2 linked regions of the Oryzias latipes genome follow. The protein of the gene in region 1 interacts with the protein of each later gene in a pairwise test. Links are inferred from orthologs where the notes say so. Each region holds a gene or a part of one and is shown on either strand. Other genes may lie near its edges. The genes, in order: hivep1 and atxn1l.

What was found.
Region 2: the proteins of hivep1 (region 1) and atxn1l interact in a two-hybrid assay, tested with the Homo sapiens proteins (2 studies listed by BioGRID). The link is inferred for Oryzias latipes from reciprocal best matches to the Homo sapiens genes HIVEP1 and ATXN1L.

Annotation. Positions count from the first base shown.
Region 1 is NC_019869.2:19,507,145-19,522,197, forward strand, and holds the end of hivep1 (zinc finger protein 40), read left to right. Parts: intron 1-74; coding exon 75-5,680; intron 5,681-6,910; coding exon 6,911-7,044; intron 7,045-7,134; coding exon 7,135-7,310; intron 7,311-8,755; coding exon 8,756-8,857; intron 8,858-10,871; coding exon 10,872-11,368; intron 11,369-11,476; coding exon 11,477-12,469; 3' UTR 12,470-12,982; downstream 12,983-15,053.
Region 2 is NC_019861.2:21,133,974-21,149,647, reverse strand, and holds atxn1l (ataxin-1-like), read left to right. Parts: upstream 1-5,393; 5' UTR 5,394-5,529; intron 5,530-6,818; 5' UTR 6,819-6,940; coding exon 6,941-7,951; intron 7,952-8,413; coding exon 8,414-9,850; 3' UTR 9,851-13,448; downstream 13,449-15,674. Other genes in the region: mtmr10 (myotubularin-related protein 10), read left to right, coding at 161-333, 439-609, 802-984, 1,350-1,955. UniProt on the Homo sapiens protein: Chromatin-binding factor that repress Notch signaling in the absence of Notch intracellular domain by acting as a CBF1 corepressor. Binds to the HEY promoter and might assist, along with NCOR2, RBPJ-mediated repression.

The sequences.
Region 1 (15,053 bases):
TTCTGTTTTTACTCACAAAGAAAATTTGAGTAAAGATATGTTTTTTATCCTTGGTTGTTTTCTTTTCTCTGCAGCTTCGAGTGCTCTAAGGCCTGTCGACAACATAAAAGGCCTGAAGAGGAAAAAGGTTGTTGCAGAGAGTAAAAAACTCCCAAAGTCTCCTGTGAAAAAGCCGGTGCAGTCATGTGAGCCCGATGTGCACTCATCGCCTACCAAGGAAACCACACCCTCCTCGTCCAGCCCCTCACACAACCCTCCATCGTCACCCAACGGGAAGGAAGAACCACAGCATGTTGAACCAGTTGCAGTATCCCTGGATGAGGGGTCCCACTCCTCTGAGGCTGAGGGGGTGAAGCAGGAGAAAGCGTCCACTCAGCCAACACCACAAGAGCCGTCAGACTGCAAGAAAGCTGAAGAGTCTCCACGTGAAGACAGCAAAACCCCAGTGGGCAGCTTTAAAGGGGGTTCTTACAGCAGCAGTGCTCCTTTGGAAGTTCTTCTGAAAGCCATGGAGCCTGACTTCAGCACTCTGGCAGATAGAGACCTCTCTGTGTTGGCCACAGGCATCAGCAAACCAGCTGCATCGCTTCAAGCGCAGCTCAGCGGAGAAGTAACAGCACTGCCAGCCGTCAGTGTTGCTCTCCAGACCCAACCCTCCCAAATGCAGACCTACTACATTGACAAACAAGGCAATTTCTTCGGCATTGCAGCTCCGCTGCAGGGAGCAGTGCAACCTTTAACACAGGGTACTGGCCCACTCACTGCATCTCATTTACTGCCTATTTCATCAAATGTGAAGCAAGGCTTGCACATGAACTTCAGCAGTGGACCGTCCGCTGTAAGTCACACCCCGGCCCCTTCAGGCCCCAGTGCTTTGCCCCAAAGCCAACCGCCAGTTGTCCACACATGCCAATCCATCTCTGCCAGCGTCCCCAGCACCATTCAGGTCCCGGTCACGCCCGGCAGCAGCCATGTGCAGATGACCACTGTCATGAACATTGGTGCTGAGCAGACATCAAAGGATCAAAAACCTAAAAAGCCAGGAAAGTACGTGTGCGAATACTGCCAACGGGCGTGTGCAAAACCCAGCGTGCTGCTCAAACACATCCGATCTCACACAGGAGAGAGACCATATCCCTGCGTCACTTGTGGCTTCTCCTTCAAAACCAAGAGCAACTTGTACAAGCACAAGAAGTCTCACGCTCACGCTATAAAGCTGGGTATGATCTCCCGTTCTGAATCTGGAGGGGGGTCTTTGTCTACAGAATCTGACAAAGCTGTTGGAGCACAGTCAGAGGTTGAAGAGAGCGGGGACAGTGATGATGAAGGTAGTGCCGTAGACCTGGAACCTGAGTCCTCACAGAGTAGCATAGCTCCATTATCTGATTGCAGTTCACAGAATGTAACACCATTGGAGACAGATGTATCCATTAAATCCTCCCCAGGTCGAAGGGCTCATGAGCCCAAAGTCCCTACTGCACTCCCTAAAGTTGTTGTGTACCCGGTTAACGTATCGCCTCTGAGGGCAGACAGTCCAAGAGTGGCCGGTGCTGCACCTGAACAAGCTGCTGCACAGCGTCAGCGAGAGTTTCAGGCCACCAGACCCAACGTCACAGTCCTGTCTTCTCTGAAGGAGGTGGACGGCACAAGTGGTTCCTTGGATGCAGTGAGCGAGGACGAAGAGCAGCAGTGCAAGTCTCCTCTGCTGGGGAGTCACGGTCAGCTTCAGCGGCAGCAAGCAACAGACTACTCTCAGCAGCAGCAGCCCAAATGTTTACTCAGTCCTCGCAGTCTGGGAAGCACCGACTCCGGCTACTTCTCTCGGTCTGAAAGTGCTGACCAGGCCATGAGTCCCCCCAGCCCCTTTGTGAAGATAACTCCACCAGTAGATGCTGAAGTTGCCAAAAGCGTTCCTCTCATCGCGCCTCCTGTGGTTTCCACAGTCATGCATGTAGCAGCTGACCAGAGAATGCGACCAAGCGAAAAAGTTATACGACACCCACTAGAGCCAAGCGCCCGCTCTCTGGAAGAGCGCATCTCAAAACTCATCTCGGACAATGAGGCGGTGGTGGACAACAAACAGCTGGACAGTGTAAAGCCACGCAGAACCTCTCTGTCGAGGAGAGGCAGCATTGACTCCCCCAGATCATACATTTTTAAAGACTCATTTCAGTTTGATCTGAAGCCGATGGGGAGAAGGTCCAGTTCAAGCTCTGACATCCCCAAGTCTCCTTTTACGCCCACAGACAAGTCAAAACATGTGTTTCTCCTATCAGTTCCTAATCAGTACCCACCAATGGACTGTCTACCGATCACAAGGAGTAACTCAATGCCCACAACGCCCGGACACTCAGTTCCCCCACCCAGCATCAATCCAGTGCCCCGACCTTTAAGGGGCTGTCAGTCATTTGATGAAAAGATTAGTTCTTTGAATGATGAGGTGTTCTTGTCAGCACCACCAACCCCAAATCCCGCAATACACTCTCGAACTTTAGTCAGACAAAAAGCTGTGGACGACTTTTCAACTAGTGAGGGGCACAGCCTGGTGGCTGTTCGGTCAATGGATGAGGGCTACCATGGGCACAGCAGCTTGGTTGAGCAGATGCAGAGGAGCAGATCGTTTGAACACGGGCAGGACCGAAGCAGGAGGCCTCAGCAGAACAAAGGCACCATGTATGAGTGCGAGACTTGTCGAAATCGGTACAGGAAGTTGGAGAATTTTGAAACCCACAAAAAATTCTACTGCTCAGAACTTCATGGTCCCAAGAACAAGCCTTTGGTGGTGAAGGAACCAGAAGAAGATGTTTTCCATGTCAACACACAGCAGCACATACCAAGCGGCACTGGTGCACTAGACCAACAGACGTCAATCAGAAAGAGAAGGAAAATGAAAAGTGTAGGTGATGAAGATGATCAGTCTCCAACTGACACCATTCCACCATGTTTAGTTGGTTGTGAGGCGACAACAACTCTGCCAAACAAGAATTTTTCTCAGACTGGGCTCATAGTAGACATCCAACCCAACAGCCAATCAAAGCCTCCTCAGATCCAGCTTGTAGCACGAGGTATGAACACGGCAGAGTCCAGACTGTCTCCCATTCAAGAGATGAATATCAGTGGTGCTGCTAAAGGAGACCTTCAGAGGCAAGGCAGTGGCACATCAGTCATCAGACACACCAATTCTCTGAGCCGACCCAACTCATTTGAGACGGACTCCCTTGATAGAGTATCTCCTGATGTTTTGGAGAAAGATCAAATGAAAAGTCCACAGTTAGATAGATCTTCTGGAGTCTCAACTGATTCCTACCAGGAAAAAGCTTTCAAACCTACATGTGACGAGTACAGGAAACTCGGGAGGGAGTATAGCAGCGATAGTATGAGTGCTGCAAGCTCAACCCCAGTCAATCAGTCTCGTCTTGTACGACAAAGCAACATCCTGGTTCCTGAGATTCTGGTAACAGAAGACTCAGACAGGGAGCATGAACCTAACACCAGTGAGCCGGCAGACAAGCCTGCAGAACAATTCAACTGGCCCCAGAGAAGTGAGAGTCTGTCCAAGTTACCAGCTGAGAAGCTCCCCCCTAAGAAGAAAAGAATTCGTCTGGCTCAAATGGACCAGTCGTCAGGTGACTCCAGCTTTGAGTCCAGCTTCTCGCGAAGCCTTAGCAGGGACAGCAGCCTCTCTCGAGGCTCCAGCATCTCAGCCTCCTTTGACCGAGAGGAAACAATTCGATCAGAGAGTCCATCCAGAGGGGAAGGTAAAACTCCAGAACCTCAGAGTTTACCAGTGGCGCTCAACACCCTTGGGGTGCCTGGAATGATGAGGCGTGCCGCATCTGAGCAGATCACTTGCACTCAGCCATCGGTGGAGATTTCGTGTGATTATCGAAGCAAGTCTTTTGACTGCGGCAATGTGCCTCCAAGACGATGTCTGTCACCCATCGGTCAACCCAAAACTGGACAGGTCGCACAGGTGCCACTGATTGAGAGAAGGCGGGGACCACTTGTTCGACAGATGTCCTTAAAGATTGGCCCGGAGAGTCAGCAGCCTGTTCGGAAATCTGCCATTGGCACTTTAGACAAAGCCCTGATTGCTAACGTCAGCTCCCTCGGTCAGTACAGATCCCAGCAAATTAATATTGTAAGCAGGCGTGCCCCAGTGGCGTCCGCCATCCTAAACACAGCGGAGCCACCGCTGCAACAACACGAGCAACTGGTGCAAAGCATTAATCTGGGCAGCCCCACCCAGCAGCAACAAGTCCATGGTTTGCCACACCCCTGGTACCAAACGGCAAAGGTCCAGTTTAGTCAGAAGGTACAGCAAGCTCTCAGCAAGACATCAGTTTGTGGTGAAAATCTTCAAGATAAACCATCTGACTTTGAGAAAAATAAATCCTTTGTGCCCAAATACCAACTCCAGTGTCCCAGCCAAACCTTTTCCTTCTGTACGCAGGGGACTCAGATCGCTTTGCCAATTTTAACTATTCCAATTGCCAATCCGATCCTGAGCATTTCCAAATCCTCAGACATCATCCAGAATGTCTTTGTGGCCAGTCAGCAGACGTCCGATGTGAAGACCCAGACTGTTGTATTTTCAAGTAAACAGCAGAAGGAGCCGTTGGACCATAGCCAAACGGGCACTGCTTCGTTGCCGCAGATCCTGATCACCCATGAGCAGATGCACCAATCCTCTTCTCAGTCCAGTAAGCACTACCAGTTGTCCACTCAGAGTGCAGAGGTCCCACATGACCGGACTCAAACTGCAGCAGTTCCTGCCCCACACACAGCAGACCATTCATCCCTGGGTTCTCTGCAGTGCATGCAAAAACTAGCCTCTGTGACATTGTGCCCACAACAGGAACCCGCTGCTTCCAGCAAGCGCATGTTGTCACCAGCCAACAGTTTGGACATCTACATGGAAAAGCACCAGAAACGTGCCAAGGACGAGCATGGTGTAGCCTGCTTGACAGACGGTAGGTCGGCCGGTTACCTCAACTCAAAGATATCCGAGGTGTCACGCCAGAGAAAGCTAATGCTGGTGAGACAGGTGTGTACGACTGAACCGGTGGACAGTCCCATTGAGACAGAGGCCCCACCCCTGCCTGATCTCAAACCTAACGAGGAGAAGAACTCTGAGGCTGATGATGGAGTCAAGCCCATGTCTCCTGATGCGGTAGGCGTAGAAAAAAGCAGGGCAAAGGAAATTAACGAGAAGAAAGATCCGGTCATAAACACTACCTCCCTGCCTCCTGACAACAGTCTGAAGCCCCAGGAGAAATCCGAGGAGCAGAGGTGGACCCCGGCCAAATCCCTGATACGGCCCTCCAGCTTCCATGCAGGTCAAGTGAAACTGACCACGTCTGTGTCAGCGGTGAACACCAAGGAAGCCCACCGGCTGTCTTTCCCCAGCCTGAAGACCACCACCACCTTCACATGGTGCTTCCTGATGAAGAGGAAGCCTATTCACATGCAGCAGACTGACCTGAAAACCTCAGCATACGCTGCCTGGACCGTCAGTACAGATAACTCCAATCCCCTTGGGCTGCCCACCAAGGTGGTCTTGTCTCTTTTTGACTCCAAGCACAGCTCTAGGAAGATCCACTACACCTCCGCCATAAGGACCAGCAGGGAGTCTGACATCCTGTCCTTCTCGGGCAAGCTGAAGGACGTCATGCTTAAAGTAAGTTTTACCACAATTATTGTCATTAGAATAACTACAACAAATCAAAAGATTTACAGATCAAACGAGCTGCAGTCACTTAAGTTTTAACTATACCTCTGTCCTCCTAGGATGGATTATCTAGATTCTTTTATGACTTAACTTACATTTTGATGTGATTCAATTAAATATTGTTTTATTCTTCAAATAGAACAATCTTCAAAAAACTGAACAAAGGTAGAACTTACTACTAAAACGACAGATTCTTTTATTAAAAATCAAACTTAAGGCAGTTTTTTGCCTGAAAAACAAACTTTTCTTTCATAGAAGAATCTATGCCTGAATTTCATTAATCAATATAGATCATTTGGATATCAGTTATCCAACTTTTTTTCTTTTAGCCAACCGTGTTTGATGGTCGTCGTTTTTCTCAACCAGGCTCTCAAACTCCCAACCCTAGGGTCATTTACTGCCCCCAGCCCCTAAACGCAAGTCACTGAACTTGGTTTTAAAGTGAAATGTAATTACTCATCTGAGGAATATACACTACAAGAAGAAAACATCAGTGATAGTGGAAGAGAAAGATCAGTGTTTCAAAATAAGATCGCTGAAAGTTTTGGTGAGCACAGCTTTTTGTTGATTGGTGTTTGTAACATTAAGAGAACAAGAGCAGAAAGTTAAAGCACAGCAAGTTATACCAATTTTTTCAGGATGAATGTGAAACACCACATCTGTGTTTTGGAGTTAGGAAGATAAGAGCATGAGTGGAAGTGCTGTCATGTGTCTCAGCAGGAACAGAGCCAATTCCTCTCTTTTCACAGTTCATAAACTCAGTTAGCTGTTAGAGTGGAATGAAAGAAAACTATTGTCAGGATTTTTATTTATAGTGCTTCAAGTTAAGTTTTCAGAAATATATTTTAAGTCAAACAGTGATGTGGCCCTTTAAGGACATGATGGAGGCCGCCACCTCCAGAATTGGAGGTCCAAAGTCTAAAGCTGATTTTGGCTTCAGTGTGTTTATCATAAATCTACGAAACAATGGAAATCTGGTTGTCTTTGAGCCTGGAAGAGTTCTTGAAGACATCTCGAATGGTTTTAGGTCCCTTTTCCTTTTAAGATCCCTTTTTCAACAGTATTTATCTGGAATGAATGGGTTTGGTCGACCCAAACGGAGGTGTTAGAATGTTCCCTCTTGATTATTTGGCTTTGTTTCTCCACAGTGAATCCATGAGTTTCTTCCTCTTTCTGCAGATGCCAGCATCCCAGAAGTCTGTGTCGTCTGAAACCAGATGCAAACCACAACCAGAACCTCAGACCAGCCATGATTCGGAGAAAGATGCGCCGCTGTTGTCCGAGCCGCGGCGCGTCAAAATATTTGATGGCGGGTAAGCGTCCATTTGGTTGTCATCTTGAGAAGCGTCAATGGTTGTTTTGGATGTTCGCATGCCGCTCACCGTTTCCCTGAAAACCCACAGGTTCAAATCTAATGAGGAGTATGTGTACGTGCGCGGCCGTGGGCGGGGCAAGTACATCTGCGAGGAGTGTGGGATCCGCTGCAAGAAGCCCAGCATGCTGCGCAAACACATCCGCACCCACTCGGATGTGCGACCATTCCACTGCGTCCACTGCAACTTCTCCTTCAAGACTAAAGGTCAGCTTCGGTGAAGGCTGATCACAGCTTGTTGTTACTCACACTAATCTACAGTGCAAAACTTCACTTCAATTATGTTTTGAAGTAATGTTGTTTGTTTTATTTAAAAAAATAATTGTAATAAAAATGGTAAAAATGAGAATTTTATGAAATTGGACAACAGCAATTCAAACAAACTTAGTGGGAAACTGCACATTTTTACAGAAAAAGGATATAAAAATGTGAATCTTGTCAGATGACAACAAATGTAAGGATCTGACACTACTTTTTAGACAATACATTCAAAATGTAAAGTAGTTTTGTTCTTGGTTTGGATAGTTTAAAGGTTTTAAAGTGACAATGTGTGTTTGGTAGTTCATTTCTTCATAGTTACAAATGTTTTTGCCAGTAAATGACATACCGTAGTAACCTGTTTATTAATAGACATGTGATCCTACCATCAAAATGGCACCAGAAAAATACATAAAAATAGGATTTATCTGAATCAACCATTTGAACAAAAACAAAAAATATATATAATTGTAACTCTGCTTTGACTACTTTACCCCAGAACTGTCAGCTTGTGGTAGGGGTAACATGTCTTTAACAAAACAAAGTCACAACTCTCACTATAATTTACCGATAATCTAGATCATAAATCCAATTCAGCAAAACAAATACAAGTTGACCAAAGTGTGGAATCAGTCAGAATGAGTCAAAATTAGCCCAGAATGGAGGCGTGGCCTTTTTGGTGGCAGGTAACTGCCATACCCTAAGGTCTTAAGTATGGATGTACAGATTTTTAGGAAAGTCAGAGTCTATGGTGTCAAATCTGCCAAAGAGGCCAAAACAAAAGAGACCAGTGGGAAAATGTTGTAGGTTATCTTTAGCACGTAACCCCCGCCATAAACGAGGGAACACTGTGCATTATTAAAAAGTGAGGGTGAAAAAATGGGAGTTCTTGTAGATAAAAAACAACTTAAAAAGAATTAAATCAGGTTTCAGCAAAGAAACAAGTTCTGTAGTAGCTACAAAAGACTTGCATTATTTGGTTAGTAAAGATTCCCCCTGTTACTGGTAAGAAATCTTAATTTTGTTCTTCAAAGAGGTTTTAAGTGATATCGTCGAAGCCCTCCCTCCTCCTGGCAATGCATTCTTCTGCAGAAACCTAAAGTTTGTTTCCCTCTAAAGCTCCGAATGCTAGCCTCTCATCTGAGCATGCTCAGTGAAACTAAAAATGTTTCTCCAGCCTCTCCAAGACGTAATGATTCACTGTTCTTTATTGAATTTGGCCTCCCACGCGCCTCTGCAGAGCCGCTCTGGGTGTCAGCAGCCCACGTTCATTTAAAAATGTCTTCATCAGTTACTCACCTTTGCAGCTTTCCCAGAGAGAGCGCTCGCTCTTACGTAAACGGCTCTGCGCTTCGGTCAGAGCTCTGCCCACATGTGAGCCCTCTCATTTGCAGGAAACCTCACCAAGCACATGAAGTCCAAGGCCCACAGGAAGAAGTGCATGGAGACGGGGGTGCCTGAGGGTGTGATGGAGGATCAGGATGCGGAGGACTCTGGTACGACCATCTGTGCTGAACCCACAAACGTGAATCTGTGAAGCCGGGTTTACTCGCTTCACATCCAAGTGTTCTGCTTCAGCTTCGTTTGTTGGCCGATTCTGCTCACGTTCTGCCGCTAAAGGCCACACTCTGTGAAAAAACAAGTGAGCGGCGCCGCTTCCTCGGCTGCGCCGCGCACATGTGGGTGGCAGGCGCAGAGTTTACAAAGAGGAAATTTGCTGCATCTAATTTTAGAAGAACGGAGTGAGGGAGGATTGGAGTTTGTTTTTCCCTCCTCCGCCTGTGATGCAGCTCGCAGGGAGAGGACGGTTGGGAGGGTGAAGCTCTGCTGCAGCAGCACACAAATGTCCCTGAATGTTCTCCCGCTGTGAGGAGGCAAGTGTGGGAGATGAAACTGTTTGTCCAGCCGTCTGATTTCAGTCACAGATTTTCAGAAAAACCTGGAAGCTGTTGGATTACAGTGAACCCCGACACATACACACCCGTCAGAGTTGGGACCCTTTCAGTGTCTGCCGTTAGGTCCAAGAGTTTACTTATTTATTTTTTCTTTGTTTGCTCTGAACAGCCCGGAGCTAATGTCAGCGCAGCTAAATAAAAGTATAGCAATTTTTAAAAAACAACCAAAAATCCCACTATGAGCAGAACCGCCCTGCACGGCCATTCAGGCTTTGTTCTGGAGGTCAGGACCAAAGATTTGCCAAAATGCTTGTGGAGCACAGCATCTCCTAAAAGTCAGTCTCTCAGTCAATTATTTCCTGTTTTACTAGGCTGGGTTTACCACCAGGGCTTCTTTTGACTATTTTAATTCTTCAATCGTTTATGCAGTTAACGCAATTCCAGCAGATTCTGAAGTGGAAAAAGGGACTTTGTACGGTGATGCAACATTTTCAATATGGAAGGCCGCACTTCTCTGCGTCAGAATGATCTGATTTTCATTGTTCGTGTAAACCGTCATATTTACGGTACGATAAAGAGCTTGTATTATTCCGGTCTCGCCAACAACATCTCCAGCATTAAAGGGTCAAATAATTTAAACAAAGTCAATTTTCTGTTAACCCTTTAACAACAGAGCTGTCGCCGGCTACGCCTAAATAAAGCTACATTCACACCGTTAAAGAATGTGCATGCAAGGAGGGCCTTCTTCTCCTTTTTCTACGGTTTACTTACACTTGTCCGCCGCCTACGCGTGGAAGAGGTTTGGTGCGAAATGTCCAAGTGGTCCAAATGTTGTGAGTCTTTCGTCAGGCTTTTTCTTTCACAGGTGATATACAAAAGACTTACTGTCACAGAATTCAAATGGTTCTAAAGCCACTTTGCTCCGTATCAACATCAGCTGGTTTACATTGATTGCATAAACACTTAACTACTGTTAAGTGCTGCATATCAACGCAAAGCCGCTTTGGAATCTGCTGGAGTTATATTAATTGAGTAAACAGTTTAGGAGTTACGGTAATGTAACAGGTTAAAGATGTTGTTTTTTTTAGCAAAAAAGCTGCTTTTATTTTCTGAAAACTTGAGAAAAGTAGCATCTCTCTCGGTGGAATGATCATGTACATTTCTTTTAATTATTTTGTTGGACTTTTCCATAACCAGGACCAGCAGCACTCTGCAGCAGTGCCATTAGTTTTTATTAGAATTTTCCTAATTTTCCTTCTTGCTAATGAACTTTCATGGATTATTTCCAAAATTTGATTAGGATTTCTGTAATTTATCCAAAAAGTCAGTGTCTCTGGTTTTCAGTGAGTCTGCTTCCTTATTTCTGACACTTTGTGTTCATTTTCCAGATTATTTAGATTTAGACTTTTTATAATCAGACGTCACGGTGATTTGGTGATTAGTTTTTAATTAAATTTAAAACAACTTATTTTTCATTGTTTCCATTCTTAATTATTTACTTTTCTTTGTTATTGTTTTTCAGTTTTATTTAAATTTTCTGGAATTACGTGTGTCTAATTGTTTTCAAAGATTCTTCATGAACTAATTAGGATTTATCCCGGATTTTCCCCTGCAGGAGACCGGAGTCAGCTGAGCGGCGCCGACCGCCAGGATTCCGATGGTGATGACTCGGACGGCCCAGACGATGACGACAATGATGAAGAGGAGGAGGACGACAGTCAGGCGGAGTCTGGCCTGTCCACCAACCCGTCTGTGTCTGCCAGCCCCCAGCACCTCCCCTACAGAGACGCAGAGTTTCCCCCCAGCGCACTCCTCGCCCAGATGTCCATCAGCTCTGTCCCCGCCTCCCAGCCTGCCGCTCCTGAGCCCCCAGCCTCCGATTTCGCGTCCACCGCGTTCTTCCATCCGCAGACATCCGTGTCCTGCAGAGGCTCCGCCCACCTCCCTGCCTCTCCCCCGCCTGCGGTCACCTCAGACTCGTACACTTCAGACCCGGAGTCGGTGCACATGATGAGCCCCATCTCCCCCTGCAGGCAGATGTCCATCGATTACCCTGACTTTGACGGCCCCTTCAGCCCCCCAGCACAGGGAAAGGTCTACAAGCTAGGCCAGGTGAGTTCCTTTGCGCCCCCGCCCCTAACTTAGTCATAGCTTTACTGATGCAGGTTAGTTTAACTCAAGACCCCCCAGATAATAACTAACAATTTTCTCTCTCCACAGGATCCTCATGCCCCCCCTTCTACAGCCAGCGCTGATTCCAACACGCCTGTGGACAGAAGCACGCAGACCTCCTACCCCGCCCAAGTTCCTCCACCCCTGCCCCCGCACACCCAAATGCAGGCGGTGAGAGCGCAGACCCACCTGTTCAGTCACCTGCCGCTGCACTCGCAGCAGCCGGCCCCCCTTCCCTACAGCATGCTTCCAGTGGGAGGGATCCAGCTGCTGCCCGCCGGCCTGGCCACCTTCCTACCGATCCAGGCTGGCCCGGTCCAGCTTACCATCCCTGCTGTGAGCGTCATCCACCGAAATACCAGCCCGCTGCCACCTCCCAACACGCCCCCCCACCCAGAGAGCCTACAGACTCATCCAGTGGTGGTCCAGGAGCCACTCAGCAGTGTGGTCCCCTGCTTCCCCCTGGGGCAGGTGGCCGGCCTGCAGGCGCAGACGCTCAACCTCATGGGACTGACCAACCCTGGCCTGGCTTCAACGCCGCTGTTACCCCCCCAGGGCCTAACGCTTAACGCTGCTCTGGGCCTGCAGGTGCTCGCTGCCAATCCCAACTCTCAGAGCAGCGCCGGCCCGCAAGCGCACGTCCCCGGCCTGCAGATTGTCAACATCGCCCTGCCTGCCATCATCCCCTCCCTCAGCCCTCTGTCTGCCCTCAGCCCCCGGCCGGGCTCTCTCGACATGCAGAGCAGCCCAGAGGCTTCTTCAGCGCCACCTGCTGGCCCTGCCTGGGGTTCTGTGCCACCCAATCCAGGAGGGTGCAGCCCTTCGATGAAGCAGACAGTGGAGTGGAACGAGAAAGAGAAACCCCCACCTCAGCGTCCAGCTTCAGCACCCCAAATCCCCGCTGAGCATCCAAAATCGGCACCAGATCCCCAAGCCGTTGAGCTTGCGGTACCTGTGTTTGAGAACAGCCGACAAACGACCATCGACGACTACAACGAGGCGTCCAGCGACGATGAAGACCGTCTGGTCATCGCCACCTGAGACGGTGGAGCCTCCCCCCCCTACCATATTTGGAACTCTGGTCACTTTATTGAACTGAAGACCCTGCGGGGCTCGCCACCTCAGCAGTCAAAGCACAGAAGCCGTTGTACGTGCAATCAGACAATGACAACAATCCTTTGAGTCTGACTTATCCAACCCTGTTTTTGTACATGTTGTAAAAACAAGTGTGCCTTCATGGAGTTTTTGTTTGGGACACTGTACATAGTTCTGAGGAGTTCAGTGGTTGTTTTTGTTCATTTCAGATGAAAACAGAGTTGATCACTTTTTATCTGGGAGGATCTGTCATTCGTAAATGTATGGACTTCTCAATGTCGTACTGGTATATCTGCATTTCTATGGATTTTGGGGCAAACGTGTACAGATGTGTTCTATTTATTATGCTCCATATAGTGCCCACAATGATTCATAAGTCCACAGGTATGTGCATCAAGGTAGCTCTATGTTGCTGTATTAATATTTACTGTATGAGTAAACGTTTGTTTATGAAGCCTTTGCTGGTGGTGTTTGGTGTCATTGGGGGAGGGCGGGGTACGGGACTTTTGTAAATCACATAACTCAGCTTCCACAATCTGACTCAAACTAGCACAACCCGTAACATAAAGGTCAAGTTTGATGCTAGGTTCACGCCGCCCACGGTAAAGCACGTTCAAGCGACCACTTTTAATGAAAGGTTCATGTGACGCGCGCACATTTAGGTTTCTGCGTTCAGATCTCTCACATTCACGCTCAGCAACTTTTCAAGTCATTTTCTGAGGTTTTATGAACAAAATGTGCATCTATTGAACATTGCATGAGAACTTGATTTGGTGCCAAAATACTCATCCAGTCAACTCCCTAAGTTCAACCACACTCTAGTGTCATTACCCATAATTCCTTGCTAGATCTATCCTTCAAAGCTCTCTGTGCTGCCCCCTCCCATACAGGAGGGGGCAGCATGTCCTTTTTTGGGGTTTATCATGAAATAGTGTAGAAAAACTAAGTTTCATAGCTTTAAATGTGTTTTATTTCCCATTTTCCACTGTGGTCCACCTTTAGAGAACCATGTTTGCAATTTGTTGCGTTACAATAGCCGGTTTGAAACGTTAGGACGTGACACTGGTTGTTTTTTTAACCCTTGTGCTATCTTAGATGACCCCGCCCTTACATTGACATGTTCTCCCTACCATGACAAAGGTGGATAAAGGTGAAGAGGATTTCATGTAATCCATGGACACCAGTAAAGATCACAAATCATTGAAGAAAAAAGGTTCAGCGCACTGTGTAGTGGGTCTAGATGACCCCACTCCCAATGGTAAAGTGCCTAGGATAGTGTTGCACTCTTACTGGTGCCATAGCTTTGGAGAACTGCACCGCATCGTGTTAGATGATCACAGCAGGTCTGGACTGAACCAGAGTCCACTAGAACCTGCTCGGACCCGCCTTTCGCAGGTTCACTGAAACGGACCCGAGCACAAAACGGTGTGATTACAGCAGCTAAATGCACAACACTTTGGGCTAAATCTCGGGCTACCCTTGGCAAAAAGTAGTTTATTTTAGTATACTACGAGTATACTTGAAGTTAGACAGTATGCTTGAAGTTTACATCTTTTTAGGCTATATATTGATGGAAGTATTCAGTTAGTATCAAAAATATCTGAGTCATGTGTTAATTATTTTTTGTCCATGCATACTCATATTCCAAATTATCTATCCATTCCCTTTTATTGTGTTTATGATAGTTATTCTACTGTCAGACATATTTTCATATTGGAGCATTTAATCAATCTGATTTGAGCTGTCCTTTGTTACAGGCAGGTTAGGAGCTGAAGAGGCCTTCACCATGAGTTCTGAAGGTCCCCTAATGCGAAATCAATGTCGGACATTAATTTCCTTCAACCAATAAGATTTTGAGTTAGTGTCAGCAGGGCCTCTTAGCAGGCTTAGGCAACGTTACAGTATTCAGACTTTCTGATTGGACAGAAGTTTCAGGAATACAGGAAATATTTCCCACATGCAGCCTTGTCCAGTTTGACACAGAGCCGCGGAGCACTTTTTGATCTGTCTCAGTTAAAAACAGAGCTGACTGTAACGTACACCATGGAAGATTTTGCAGGGAAACCTCCCACTGTTCTCATTGACTTCCTTAATCAGAAAAATCTGATAATGATCATGAGCAGCTGTTCAGATTTGTGTGTTTGGCGCTGACCATCCCCGTGTCCACTGCGTCTGTCGAGGGGATATTCTCGGCTCTAAAGCAAATTAAAACCTACACGGAAACGCAACTGGACAGACTCGGCTCTCAGCATTGATGGAATAGAAACACTAGAAACAGTAACAATGGGAATTGAAAGAAAACACGACAAAAGTCAAAAAGTTTTTCCAGTATTTTCACATTTTCCAAGCCATGTCATGACAAAAATGTCCTCATGAACATGTGGACGCAACAAATGCAGCTTTCTGCACTCATAAAACAGCATGACTCAGACTCTGCCTCCACCGTGTTCTTCATCCTGCAGACATCCTGGTTGTGGGACACGACTGTGGTACATGAACATCTGAACATGAAACTAAAAAACTCCTCCAT
Region 2 (15,674 bases), on another chromosome or scaffold:
AAAGTCACAGAGCTTTGCGTACTGTGCAGTTTGGATTTTGCTTGTTCTTAATAATCTGGCCAGTCTGGCTTTGACACTTGGCGGAATTTATTCTTTTTTTTGTTTCTCTCATTTTTGTCCAGGCCTAGCATAACGTTTGTTTGTTTCTTCTGTTGTGTAGAGGAGGAGGACCGAGACCTGAACTGTGTTGTGTCCTCATTGGTGCAGCTCATGTTGGACCCTCACTATCGCAGCCTCACTGGTTTTCAGAGTTTGGTGCAGAAGGAGTGGGTGATGGCTGGCCATCGCTTTCTGGACAGATGCAACCACTTGAAGAAGAATGATAGAGAGGAGGTATGCCTGTACTTGTTAATATTTCTAGTTACAGGAAGCAGTTCTCCAGATCTCCCTGGGATGTGTGGTGATGTGTTGTTTCCTGTTGTTACCTGTTGTATGAAGTGCCCGCTGTTCACATTGTTCCTGGACTGCGTATGGCAGATGATGAACCAGTATCCAGCTGCGTTTGAGTTCACAGAGGCATATCTGACAGTGCTGAGTGATAGCATGTGGATCCCACTGTTCAGCACTTTCCTCTTTAATTCTCCTAAGCAACGGACTCAACTCTTGACGGTAAAAAAATAATAATAATATTGAGACTAATAAGTATTGTGTTAACCTAATCTTTATTAATCAAAATGCTACAAAGCTCATTATGCCCCCCAGGTTTTCCTTAAAAAACAAATAAACCCAACAACATTTCATTTTGTTCTGTAGAAATAGTCTTCAGAATGCAGCGTGTGAAATGTCTTTTTTACTTTTTAGGACTTTGCCAAAAACAAAGCCATCCCTCCAGGAGAAGACCCTGCTGGGTTTTTCCCTGCAGTTTGGGAGTGGTCACAGCAGTTTTCCACCAAAGATCAAACCCTCTTTAACAACCCCATGTATGTCGGCAAAGGATCTGCACGTGTTCAGAACGGCGAAGTGAAAACCTTCAGACGCACAAAGGTACACAAGACACCAATTCCACGTCACATTAGCTTGTAGTTTGGTTGATGTGATGATCTTCTGCACACAGTCTGAAGGCATTTCAGAGATTTCAGAAAAACCTGTTCTCACAAAGGAGAAAACATCCATCCTTTAGTTTTTTTTTTTTATTTCTGCCATGCCGTTCAAATAAGCAGCTAAAACATTCTCTGATAAATTGATAAACAGTCTTTCTTTAAAAAATGTTCCATGCTCTTATAGCTTTGATCTTATCTTATGACAGTCTAATTCTTTTTATCTATATATTATTTTACTGACACATAATATACTGCCTCTATAGTTGACACAAGCTTACAATAGCCTAATTCTGGTTCTTTCTTCAACAGAAAGTTTATTCTTCCACAGTTCGGGGAACGTCTTCACTGCCGGCTAACGGGCTAAAAGGTAATGGAGAGCGCCGACGGAGCTCTCTGGTATCCGAGTTGAAGCCAGATTTCTCACCAGTGAAAGTGGAAAGTCCGTCTGACCGCTTCTTCAGAGACTGGTTCTCTCAACCTGCTGACCAGCACGGCGTCCTGATTCCCCTGCTCATGCCATCACATGTGGCTCTCTGGAAGCTCTTCTTCCTGCGCTGGGTCTCTGAAGCCTGCATTCCTAACGGAGGCCCCATCACTACCTACCACAAGCTATCCCAACTGGTCGATGAAATAGACATATTGCAGAGCCAACTGAGGCAATACAAAGGCTCCAGTCCAGGGAGCACACCACTTCCGAGCCCGAGCGCCCCCCCCTCTAACCAAAGAAGGATGTATTTTAAGGCGACTCCTCCATGTGACCCTTCCACCGTTCCAGACGTCTTTACCTCCTCCTTTCCTTTTAGTCCAGTGGGAAACCTATGCCGGCGAAATCTCCAGGGAACTCCAATTGGCAAATTTTTGAATGGTGCAAAGATCTGGCTCTCAACGGAGACTCTTGCTAATGACACTGTTTAAGGGTAATGGGTTTATATTTGTTTTTTTAAGAAAATCTAATTCTTCTTTATTATTTCTTTGTTAAATACTAATAAGAAACCTAAGAGATCAAATTCAACCATTTAAATGTTTTTCTAAATATAAGCTAAAAACTGCACCATTTATTGCAGCATCCAAATCTTGGGGAGTACTTAATTGTTAAAACTAAATCCTTAACATCTTCTACACCTTTTAAAGCGGATTGTTTGTTTGAAAAGAAAAAAAAGACAGAGAAATGTCTTCACTGTTGAGATATTTATGGTGGTTTTTGTGTGACAGAAATGGCACCTTCAGAGATTCTATAACTGCTATTCGATCAGACTCAGAAGACTCATCCATTGACATGATTCACTGTGCGTTAGAGTAATAATTAATAAACTGTTAAAAATATGGCTGTTGCTCTGCCAACAGTTTGTCTTTTTTAAATCCAATTATCCTTTAAGTTTCGTATTTTAAATTGGGAATGACTTAATTCTAAAACTGTGATGCACTTCACTAAACACTGATTTTCAAGAATTTAGTTTGTTTTGATGTTCAGGAAATGTAATTAAAGCTGAGAATGTTGTGCCTTTTTCATCCTAGCCGTATTTTAGAAAGAGAACCATTAAAAACCCAAAGCATGGCTTAAGGAATCGGTGTGCTACCTGGTTAAATGTAATAGAAAATCCTTTTATATTTAAGTTTTTTTTTCTTTTCTTCCTTCAAGGTCCTGTGTTGAAGGAAACCTGCAATAAGGGATAAATGCAGTGACTTCATTGTACTGCTTTATTTAGTTTTACTAAGGTTTTCTATTCTTTGTCATAGGAATCTTACTTAAGCAGAATCTTTATGCAGTTAGTGAGGACTAAAATATAATTTTTTTTCGTTTTGTTGTTTTTAAGATGTTGAACTTTCCTAAAGGCCTTCTGGTAAGGCACTGATCAGAAAAAAGTCGTAGCTGAATGTGAAAACAAGTGTGAAGTGATGGACCCAAGCTAATCTTGTTTTGAACAAATGGGGTTTTGAGTTTCAGGCAGGAAAGCTGTGGATCTGGTGATGGGAGCTCAGCTGTCATCTTTCATAATACCAATAAGCCTTCTGGATTCCAAGTCCTACATGAGCAGGTTGTTTTTTACTTGAAGTCCCATTCCACCTATATTTTTAACTATTGCTTCGTTCCCAGTGGTCTTTTCATTATGACTACGTAGATTTTAGCCAAAATTTTAATAAAACTGTGTTTTTTAAGACATTGTTTCTGCAGAGTGGCAGGTGTCCATCAGACATTTGCCTCTGAGTTGTGGGCGGGACTGTTGGCGTGGAAGTAACCCTTCGCTGATTTTCCCGTCATCCCTTTGTCTACACACTCTCCCGCGAGCTTACAGCCCCTCACAATTCCAAGCTAACATTAAAAGTGCAAAAATGTTGAGCAATATCAGAGCTATCCAGCCGTACAGTTTTGAGCTGGATACCAGCTCAGACGAGGAAAATGAAGAATGTTAATGGATCTATTTATCTGTAAGTGGATGCATCAGGATTGAGCGGAACAGGGAACTTTGGCCTGCCCAATTCAGTTGCTGTGACACAAACATGAGCTTTTTTATCTGCTCCTGATTGAATAAAGAAGTGCACAGAAACACAGTTTTAACCTTAAATTCTTTTATATGTCTTCCATCATGAGAAACATGCTAAAACACCAAAAGCATGATATTCAAGGGAGTGGGTCTTTAACATTATGACAGCTGACAATAGAAATCTTCTGTTTGTCCTACCTTAATTTCTTTTTAAATAAAACCTTTAGCATACATGTGATGATCTCTGCAGAGAACCGAGAAGATGATTCTCCTACTGTCAACAACTTATCACCAGCTTTACATTACATGAATAGAGATGCATCAGAATTTATCTCTGGCCATTACTGTATAATTTGAAGGACACCATAGAAATATCAAAACATGTTATAAAAATGCCTCAAAGACCTGGCAACAAACATAATTTTTCCTGTCAACGAGGAGCATTAATCTTCCAATCCAGTAGTGATTATACTATTACATGTTCTTTGGCAATAAATGTTTCAGGTTCTTTATTGCATAGTATATACAGTGTGAGTGCAAATCTGCCCTCTCAAATGCTAAATTGCACATTTTACCCAAAATATAGATTATTTTAAGAGATTGGTTGAAAATATTTTTTGCAGATTTAAATACTTTTATATGCTTGAAGTTTTTCCAATTCATTTTTTTTTTTTAATTAATGGTACTATAAAATGTTAATCCCTTATTTAGTCTTTATACTTATGGATGTATATTTATATGCTGTTTTTCCATTTAATTCACCATGATGTTCTCTGCTGTAATTGTATGATGGCTGTGCTCATTGTCACAGTTTGACTTTTAGATTCGGCAGATGTATTTATTCAATTATGAATATTTCTGTAAGAGGAATGGAGTTGCTGCTGCTCATCCTCTGTGCCTTTTTTGGGAAGATTTACTTTTTTTGTATTTATAATCTATATCTTTTGGCTTACTTTTGTCTTTTAAAATAAATAACTTTTACTAAATCTAGTAAATTTCATGAGAAGTGCACTGAAGTTGTTTTTCTTCTAAAAATGAGGATCAAGTGTTTATAACAATGTAACATGAAACAATTACATTAGTTTTCAACCATCACTGTGTTCTTGTGTTTATTTTACTAAGCAAAACCTCAGGGCAGCACAGCATTCACATTCTTGCTTTCCTACTGAAGTTTGACATTTTATATGTACAAAAGTTTATTTTAAGAAAAATAGGAACTAGAACACAATGACTGTAATACAGTGAAATTTTCTACTTTAACTTTCTGAAATAAATATTTCAAACCTAATTGTATATACCAACCAACAAATGCTGATTATCTTACAATTCAATTATCCATGAAGGTTTCCTCGGATAACTTTTCTGATGACACAAGAGTTAAAGATGGAGATAGTTAATTGTGCAGGACTCAAAGGCCTGTTCACTACAAATTTGCAACACTTACACTGTAAAGGTGTTCTATCTATCTTATCATGATGCTTGAAAAAGTCTTGTATAGTAGATGGTGGTTTTATTCCCTCTGCTGTCTGCCATACTATCTTTTAGATTTAAGGCACTTAATATAGTAATTTCCACTTTCTGCTATTGACCCGGGATTTGCACCGCATGCCACTCTCAGTAACTGGTACTGTGATTTTAATACTATGAAAGAAAAAATTATACAGACTCTAATGTGGATCTAACAATTAAAAATATATTGCTTTTTGTCACTTATACGGTAAAAAAAAAAGACAAAGTATAATTGGATGCATACATTGTCATTTGTATGCATTTTGGAAGAGTTTAGCGCGTATTTTTTTGATATATGTGACTGAGTTCAGAATTATTTTAAGAAACTGAAAAGTTTGCCTGGAAAAGGAGGAAATTGAGCAAAAGTGGTGACGTCATTGGTGAGCGCCTCTGTTGGCCTTCGAAATGGGCTTGACTCGTTAGCCCTGCTTTTTTAATCGTTATCCTGCACGTCAAACTTTTTGTCAAGAAACTCCCGTCCGCGATGACATTTGTAGGTAAGTATCGAGAACGAAACAGCGACGAAAATCGTCAGTGATAAGATGCAAGTCGAGAAGGAATCAGTAACAAGAGCGAACTGCTAGCTGTTCAGCTAGCTAGCATGTACCTTCGTGCTCGATAAATTACACACACAGACTATTAACCTTGTGTATTAGTTGGAATTGAATACACTTTGTGCATTTCATGTTGTTTTAGTAAGTGTCACTCTTTCATTTATGTATATGTTCCAGAAAATTAAGACTTAAGTAGCTTGCTAACTTTAGCCATAGAAGCTAGAAAGCAAACGGTAATCACTCAGCAGCGGCAGGATACAAGACAACTGTGTGACGCTGGACTCGCTGTTCTTTTCGTGTTGTTTTAAGGCGTCCCTTGCATACAATAACTTCCTATAGAACTGAATACATTATTTGAATTGTGTACTAATAAGTATGAATTCAACCGGGCAACTTGTTTGCATGACACCAGGTTAGCAACCATCTACAACCTGTCAAGAGTACAAAAGCTGTTACACTATAACAGTATCTACACCCATTAACCATGATTAATTGTTGTTACTTTAAATACAGACATGTGGCCATTTCTGTGAGTTCAAAATGAGCCCCTAATATCAACACTCCTCAACCATACAAATTATGTAAGATATGTTTACTTACCTGTCATTTGAAAGGCTATCTTTGTATTTTAAATAATAAAGTTCCATGCAAATAACCTTGCCAGGAAAAAGCTTCTTCTTTATAAAGACAATCTTGGTAAGTGGTGGTTAAACACTGAGATATGTATATATTCTTTTAGTGCCTCAGAAAATCAATAACCCCAGCATGGGATGAACTTGCATAGAACATGCAGTCCAGGGAACGTTTTCAGCAATTTGTCCTGTTTTAAGATTTAGAATGATCTTTCACATTTTTGAATATTAGACTTAAGTTTGGGAATTGTTTTGTTTGTCATGAGATTTATGGAATGGAATACTGGCAACTGTGATTTTCCGACCAATTAATGTGTTTTGAGTTCTACTGTTTTCAAGCTGTTAACTCTTTCTAAATATTATTTTATTATAGATTGATAGTTTGATATACCGATAGATTTTGTATTGATGTTTGCATCTGGTCTTTGTAATTTTGCTGCATAGCAGTTGATATTTTTTTATTTGTCCCTTGTAACGTGTCTTAGCATGTTAAACCCTCGACTGTTTACCCAAGTATTGTTTGCAAATTGACTGTCAAATTTTGCTTTCCTTTTGTTTCCCTTGTTTAACTGTAGGTTAAATGTGTATTCATATTCTCAGGTGAATTGGCAGACAAAGTCAGCCCCCTCTTTGCAGAACTGGTTCCTGTGTGGGCGGACTGGCCTGCAGGTTTCACTTCCTGTGCAGTACAGTAGAGCGACTTGTTTGGTCAGAGGATTACCATGAAACCCGCTCAGGAGCGTAACCAGGAGTGCCTGCCTCCAAAAAAGAGGGACCTCCCTGTCAATAACAGCAGTGGAGCAGGGGGGACAGGAGGAGGAGGAGCTACGGCCACTGGAGTGGTTGCTGGAGAAGACGAGGCGGCTTCCATCCAGAACTCTGGATCCAACAGTGAATCTCAAGGAGGGACCTCATCTGGAGAGTGGCTGCAAGCACAAGCAGGTTACCATTATAGAGTGGATCATTCAGACAATATATCAACTGTTCCTGTTGACCATTATAGCATGCTTTACAAAGTAGCTGTTCCATCTGTTACTTACTCATCCAACAGTCTTCACCCAGTGCTAAGCCACATCTCTCAAGCCTATACAGTTCACTCTCCTCTTCTGCAGCATCCAGGCCTCCCCTACCCCCCTCTTGGTTATGCACAGATCCCTCATTCCCCTCTACAATTCGTTAGCCCCCCTTATGCTGCAGTACCGTACGCTCTACCACCTGGCTTTGTCCCAGGATCGTTGATCTCTCCCTCAGGACCTATTCCTCAGGCCCATTCTGTTTCTCACCTTGTTCCCTACCAATCTATCATACAGGAAGGTGTTGTCTCTCCACCTCCGCAGGCTCAGGTAGCTACTCATACCTTTGCCAAAGCTTCAAGTGGTGTTCCATTGATGCTACCCTCAGAGCAAGCAGTCCAACAGCACCTTGGTACAGTTGGAGTTTTACCTGCAGCCGAGCTCAGCTCCAGAGGATTGTACCATGCTCAAGGCAGCAGGGGTTCCTCCACCCTCAGAGATGGCCACAGTTCTCAGTTGGCCAATGAAACAGAGATGAATGGGGGTGATAGAGAACAAGGTGTACAGGACTCTACTCACACTGCCAGAAATGCACATTTACCGCGCGTGACATCCACTTCAGCAACACAAGAGCACAGCCAGGAGAGAGTCCTGCAAACCCGAAGGCTAGAAGGCAGAAGTTCTCCTGGTCAGCGCAGCACTCCAGACAGTGATCTAGAGGTAAGATCGATTGATTTCATTTGTAAAATACAGATGGTTACACATGAAAAAAAAAAGCTGTAGAGGAATGCTCATGTTTTGTCATGGACTAAAATGTTTGAATATTTTTGACACTTAAAAAAACATTGTTCAGTATCTGGATATAAAGTAATCTACTTCATTTTTTTATTTGACACAGGTGTTGCCCTTAAGTGGACATTTCTATTGTAGTGACACCTCTATGATTTAATTGTCATTCTCATATTTCTGCATTTCTTTGTCTAAATTGTGTAAACTATGGTGAGCTGCAGTTTTGTAGAATACATGTATAGTGTATAGTATACATGTATAGTATAATACATGTGTAGTATACATGTCATGTTGTGTTGTATTGCTTCTTACTAACTGCTTTCTGTTGAATCAAACCCTTTAGTAAATGAAAATGAGTTTTGCTAATCCTCAGTGATCCTCTTTATCTTTCAGGTGCAGCAGGTGGTTGGTCGTTTGGCTTCCTCGAGCCAAGGGAATAGTGGATTACGAAAGGAGGTTTCATTTGCCCCCTTGAACCTCTGTCAGGGGGGCCAGAGAGCCGTTGATGTCCATGGCGAGAGCACAGGAGCCGTTTCTGCCAGGACCGTGTATTCTGCCCTGCCTTCAAGCTACAGTGACCATCACAAGCTGACTAGTCAACAGACAGGACAACCTGCCCATGCTGTGGTGCTCGCCAATGGGCAGCCAGTTCTTATACCCATTGACTATCAGCAGCAACATCAGCTGCCACAGCAGCAGTACCCAGGGCAGACTAACGACGCTTCAGCAAGCCATGCTACCACCACATCCTCCCCTAACCCAAGCTTTAAAGCCTCTGATTCTTCAGCCAGAGTGTGCCTCCCTGAGAGAGCAGAGCTGACAGCAGCTCTGCAGCAGCTTCCACAGCAGCCGGTGATCCAGCCTGCAGCAGATGTGACTCAGGCCTTAGCTGCAAGTCTCCTTCCTGCCCAGGCTCCCAGTAATCCATCACACTTCATGAAGGGTGCAATTATTCAGTTGGCCACTGGGGAGCTGAAGCGTGTGGAGGACCTGCAGACTCAGGATTTTGTGCGCAGTGCTGAGGTGAGTGGGGGTCTTAAGATTGACTCCAGCTTGGTGATGGACATCCGTGCCAGCCAGCAAAGACCAGGTCTAGCATCGCTTCATTTTACGGTCGGGGAGCAGCAGAGCAAAGTGACAATCGATGTGCCTCCAGAGCACCCTTTTTTTGTGTTTGGCCAGGGCTGGTCATCTTGCAGCCCTGAGCGTACAGCCCAGCTTTACGGCTTGGTTTGTCACCGCCTGCAAATCGGGGACACGTGTGTGTCAATTAGACTGCAGCAACAGCTTCAACCCCAGCAGGAGAAGCAGCCACAGAAGCATCACTTGCAGCAGCAACAGCAGAACCTCACAAGGACTTTGAACAAAACCAATGCTACATCAGGACCTAGTCACCAGCTCATGGGGCCCCCTGCCCCTCAGCAGTCACGGCCGCAGTCTCATTTCAGGTTGGATCGCATCAACAGAGACAGGCAGCGGGATGGAGAAAAAGAGTTTGTGGAGGAGGATGAAGTCATCCATTTAGGCGGTGGTGGACACACAGAATCACCCATCAGAACAAGCCGAATCTCTGCTGAGCATCCCAGGAGTCAGAGCAGTTATCACTTGCACACAGAGGGCTCTGCTTTTGCAGAGGCAGGCATGGGAGCAATACAAACTCCCCATGGTGCCTCTCAGAGACGATGGTCTTCACCCGGCCTCCAAAGATACAGCGTGAAAGTGGACGACGGGCCGCGTCCTCAGATAATCACCTCTGCTCACCCACGGCCGTCTTTCATCCCCCAAGAGGTCAAACTGTCCATCGAGGGGCGCTCTAATGCAGGGAAGTAGCATCATATTTGGTAGCAACCATAGACGGGACTGCCACGAGTAAGACGAGAGTTTGACAAGGAGAGAAAGAGGGAAAAAACAGTGTGAATGTAGCCTCAGAATGTTGGAGATTTTGCACACTTCAAAATACACAAAGGCATCTAATCATTATTGTCTGGTGAGAAGTTCTGGTTTCAGCCTGCTGCAGTCTTAACGGGGACGTGAAAAGCTAAGCATGTAGCTGGCATGTCCATACACACTGCTTTTCTCTTCCTCCGTCCCTCCTTTGTCTCCACGTTCTTGAACTCAAACCACGTAATGATCTCTTTCTGAGACATTCGCTTTTGGTTTTGGCTATGTAAAACATCCTAGAGAATTGAGTTCATGACTGTCTTTAAAAACAAATTATTGCATCGCACTAGTTTGAAGCAACCAACTCTGGTGAAAACAAAAGTTCAAAGCTAATAATGTTTTAATCACAGCGCAGCCAAAATACTGCTTCTGTGTAAAGCAATCACCCTAAAAAAAGGTGGTTGCTGACATTTGGAGGACCCGCTGTTGTTGTTGTTCCCACTTGTCAGTGTGCTTTAAATTGTGCTTTCACAACAGGAGTCTAAACCCTCCGCTGTCAGCAGCAATACTCTCCCTTCGTTACTCCTTTGGAAGCCGCTCTGCAAAGGTTGGAAAGCTCTCTCAGGCCACATGTCCCATTTCATATTTGTCTTACAATCAAATCAAGCGAATCCGTTGTGTCACCACCTTCCTCCCACTTGCTCTGAATGAGGACTGGAATGTTAGCGGTTGGAATAATCTCCTGTTCTCTTCGATCTAATCTTGCTTCGACCAACTTTAATGTTTTCTTTCCACCCTCCTTATAGACTACTTCATATTACTCATAATATTGTGGATGAGTGAGGCGGTGATGAGACGTGTCTGCTTTAAGCTTCAATTCTTGTTACCAAATGAAAGCAATAGTTCATTTTTAAAAGTACTGCCCCACCACAAGAGTTTCATTGTGTTTGAGGGGTAAATTCTCTGTTTTAAAGGATTAATCAGCTTTAGTTTGATAGCACGACTTTGGCAGGTTTGCTGAAATTGAAGGTGGACTGAGTCACTGTTGGCAATTTCAGTAACCCAAGTTCTGAAAGTGGATGCGCATAAGAGACCCGGTTAGTTTGTATGGATCTGATCCTTTGCTCCTATATAAAGGGATCGTAGGTCCAGCAGGGTTTTTTAAACTGCCCTGTGTTGCACATCTGACCCCCCTCCCCTTGATTTTACTTTAAAATTTAAATAGGACTCCCAATACTTTGTGTTGTTTTTTTTTATAAACAAAGGGAATATTTTAAGAAGTGTTGGTTCTATGTGGCAAAATTAAAATGGACTTGTTTCTCTAACTGTTTACAAATTATCCTAAAGAATGCTGCAGTTCCTTCCTAACGTCAAGGTTTTTATATCAGACAAAAAAGTCTAAAATAGGACAATTTGAAAAGAAGTGCAATTAGATCATGCATAAATCATCAAATTATCATTCCATATGTTGACATTCCCCTCACCAATTGACTAAATACTCTTTTTTTTTTTTTTTGCCTTGTCTACCATTGATCCTCAGGCTTGCCTTTGGCAAACACTTTGATCCCATTGAAAAGCGATGGACACGGTTGTCATAGCGAGGAGCTTTAAAACATCGGTTCAGAAGTTTCTGTGAACTTTTACTTGAATGCTTACAACTTCCTCTGTGCATGTAAAGAGCCATATGCCACTGTCGTCATTTTCAGCTTCAGGAGTTCTTGTAGGATGTGAGAGTTCTTCACTGCAAACCTTTGACGTAGTGTTGGTATTTTCTATGCAGTTACCACAACTGTGCCCTTCATTGTTTCATGCGTGGAGCAGGTTGGCTGATACAGTTCTAATTTTAGGATTTGTGCTTGGAATCACTGTCTTTTTTAGAAGTTTAACACTCGTTAAATGTTCAGTGAGCCTCGTTTTGACCCAACCCTGATTACTACACAGCAGATGCCAAATCGTTGAAGAAGTGTTATTTAAAGTTGTTTAGGCCTGGTTGCCAGCCACTTCAATGTGTTTTAGGTCAGGATGTATTCGATGGAGTTTATTTGTTCATTACCTCCTGTTTATGCTCACATACAGACCATCATTCTGATCCTCCTTTTATTTTGAAAGGTGTGTGCTGTAAAATTCTCATGCAAAGATGTCTAATTTCCTTAACTTCACTGATGGTCTGTTGCTCTAAGTGATTGCACTAAATGTCCTTCACAGTGTTTTAAAAAGGAAAACTTTTGGGGAGTTGAAGACTAAATTATGAGAGCGCACAAAATTGTGGAGCAATCGCAGGTTTTGTGTTTCTGTAGATATATATGCATTTCTCTTGTTGTACATAGCTTTGACGCTTGTCAATAATGCCTTAAACTCTTTTCTTTGTACAATTTGTGAGATGGAAATATTGGAGCAATGTTTCCTGAGACATTTATATTCAAGTTGTCTTGTTTAAATCAAAAGAAACTCTGGAGCAGAACTAAAGACATTTCATTATCTGCAGCTTTGTGCTGTTTCCCATTCTGCTCCGTTACAGTTTTGATTCCCTCTGTTGCTCAAAACTTAATTTGTGACTCCCAAACAAAAGTGTGAATATTCAAGGATGTTAGCAATGGAGTTTTTGTCTCTGCATTAACGCATTTACAAACATGTACAGATCTTTAAATGTATTGGTGTTGCACAAGATCTGTAAGGATTTTTGTTCCTGTTTGCTCCCTAGAATAATGGGTTATTATTTTAATTTTTCTCTGTTCCAAAGTCTCTGAAAAGGAGAAATTGCGCTCTAAATAGAAGAAGACCAGCTGCACAAGTCAGTTAGCTTTCCACTAGTGGTAATGTGCTGGTTTTTCTGGGGTCTTGTGGCGTTGGTTAAACTGCGTTCTGTCAATCCAGTATTGAACTGCCAGCTCGGGACGAATTCAATCAGGAGAGTTGGATTTGTTTAAAAAAAAATCCAAAAATCGATGACAGTATGTGTGTTATCAAACATTGTACTTTATTTTTCACACACTGCTTTCCATGTAACCATCATAACGACATCATCACTTTGAAAAAAAAAAGCCTAAATCAGCTAAATATATGCAATTATGTAAATGTAACATTCAATCCTCAAGTATAATCCAGGTGGTATGAACTTTGTATAGTGACTTTTAATATCGTATGGCCGTACCAATATGTATTGATCTCTATCAGAAGCCTTAGAGTTGTTGACCCAAAGTGCTCCCTTAGAATGCCCCGCCGCCCCCACTTTAACAAAGCATTAATATCTCTATTTTGTTGCATTTTTATTTGTACCCTTTTTGAATAAAATAGATTTGTACTGTATATTTGTACCTCTGTGAACTACTTAGGACTTTTTTTTGCTGTTTTAATTCTATGTACTTTAAGGACACAAAGATATTGTATTTTTATTGTTACAGCTAACTTGGAGACATTGCATTTATCATGTTTGTCAAGTAAACACAATATAATATATATAAATATATATATATATACAGATACAAATATAAACACCCTGTGTGCTGTCTTTATTGTTCCATGAAATAATGAGTAAAGTGGATCCTCTTACAATGTTGTGCATTATATTTCGTGGATATTTACACACATTTCTCTGGTTTAACAAGTTCTGTTTTACCTTCTCAAAACTGACTGCAGATGAGAAGCAAAACTAAGATTACCGGTTATCTTTTTTGTATAATTCAAGAAGACAATCACAAGTGTATAAACAATTGTTTTTTTTTTACAACCATTTGACTTTTGGGAAATTTACTTCTCCAAAAAATCAGTAAAAAGGCATTCTCCCCCACCTTATTAAATCAAAATAATTTAAATGAATGCTTAAGTTGGTGTTAATGTGACAGGCAAAAAAAGATTTTTATTTTTAAGATAAGTTTTTTATTCATAAATCAAACTAGGAAAAATGCTTTTTAAAGGTAAAATTATTTAAAAAAGGGGATTAGGAAATAAATATACAAAGATAATAAAAAACATGAAATTTAATCATTTAATCATATTTCCAAATTCAGTGTAAATATTATTGCATACTTTTATAGTCAAAAATACATCTATAAACATAACTAAAACACATTTTTATATAAATTAAATTACGATGGGGAAAAAATTATAAATCTTAATTGTTCCCAATGTTGCACTTGTACCCAGAAATTGAGCTAAAATGAAGTTTTTAAAAGCAAGTTAAAAAATAAAGGAAGAAATGACACCCACATATTAAAGTTGATGTTTATTACCACATTCTTTACCAGGACTCAATATTATCTGTCTCCTAATAGTTGAGTAACAATGGATGGCACCTCAAAAGTGCTACCCAATCAGAATGCATTCATACCACAGCCAGCTGGACGTTGGCAGTTTCTCTCATTAGTTTGGCCGTTTGTCAGCTATTTATTGTGTAAACATGGACATTGATTGAAAATCCTGACAATCAATATTAAGATGCTTTTTTTTTTTTTTAAATAAAAACACTTTAATAAAACAGTAACAAAAAAAGGCAGGCAATAAAATTTAAGTAGAACACAAGTTAAAATCGAACCATTCTAGTACAAGCGCAGTTTATAACATGCAGTTTACTTAATCAAAGACGAGCGCAATGCTCTTAGGACCGAGTCCACAGTTCTCCCACTTCTAGACGTTTGCTGGGGATCAAACGAGCGACCTCTGGGAAAACCTAATGTTCCTGATTTAAGAAATTGCAGGAACAACTGAAACGTTTGTCCAAAATGATTATTTGCCCTTTTTAGAAAGGCCTAAACCAAATGGCAGTGAGACCCTGTTGATTCCATGTAATGAATGAAGGACAACCAAATGTCTCTTAAAAACAATGTCAGAGCGTGAGGCTGATGAATGCACCTCATGGAACCAAAGACTCTTAGCCTTCTCACTGAGTTAGGTTGACTGAGAAGGTGGCTTTCTCATTTTTGAGTCTAAGCCATATAAAAAAAAAAAAAAAAAAGAACATGTAAATTGCATTCTGCATAGTTTCTGTGAAAAGGGATTTTATTTGCTGTTGCATAGAAGTTTGATTCACTCCTAGAACACCCTTAACGTAACCAAGTTGCAGGTATGCCTCAGTTAATGGAGATAACTAAATGTAACTGCTAGAATTTAAAATATTTTTCTTTTATTTTAGCTTAACCAACAACAATTCTATTGATGCTTGTGTAGAAAAAAAATCATTTGTTCAACGAACTTTATTTTATTTAAAAATCTCTTGTTTTTTTTCCAGAGCCTTTGGGTTCTGCATTAATAATTGATTTTTTTTTTTTACAGTTCTGCAGTTTTTATTTCAGCAGATCTCAAAGAAGACCAAGAATAAAGACTCATATCAGGACTGAGAGTAAAAATATGGATTCTGGCTGATCTAGGAGTGACTCAAACAGCTGTTCCAAAACTGTTCACTAAAAGATGCAAGAAAAGAAATTTAAAAAAATGACACAACAACCCTATGTTCTACCAATAAAATATTCCAAACTATTTTACAAAATTATGTCATATTGCATAAATGCACTGGAATGAGATTAATGAGTATACTTCAATATTCTATTATAATGAAACTTACCCCAACTTACTTACAATTGCTTAAAACTCGAGTGGTAACAATACCCATTTTGAAAATACTGCAGCTTACTAAGCATCCGAATGCTACAGAAATTGCACAAAGCAGAGGTTATTATTCAAGTGGGATTCTTTTTGCAATACTAAGAACCAACATTTATGTTTGCTCATGAGCACAAAAACAAATGCATCCTTGCAGGCATAATTCAAGTAATATATC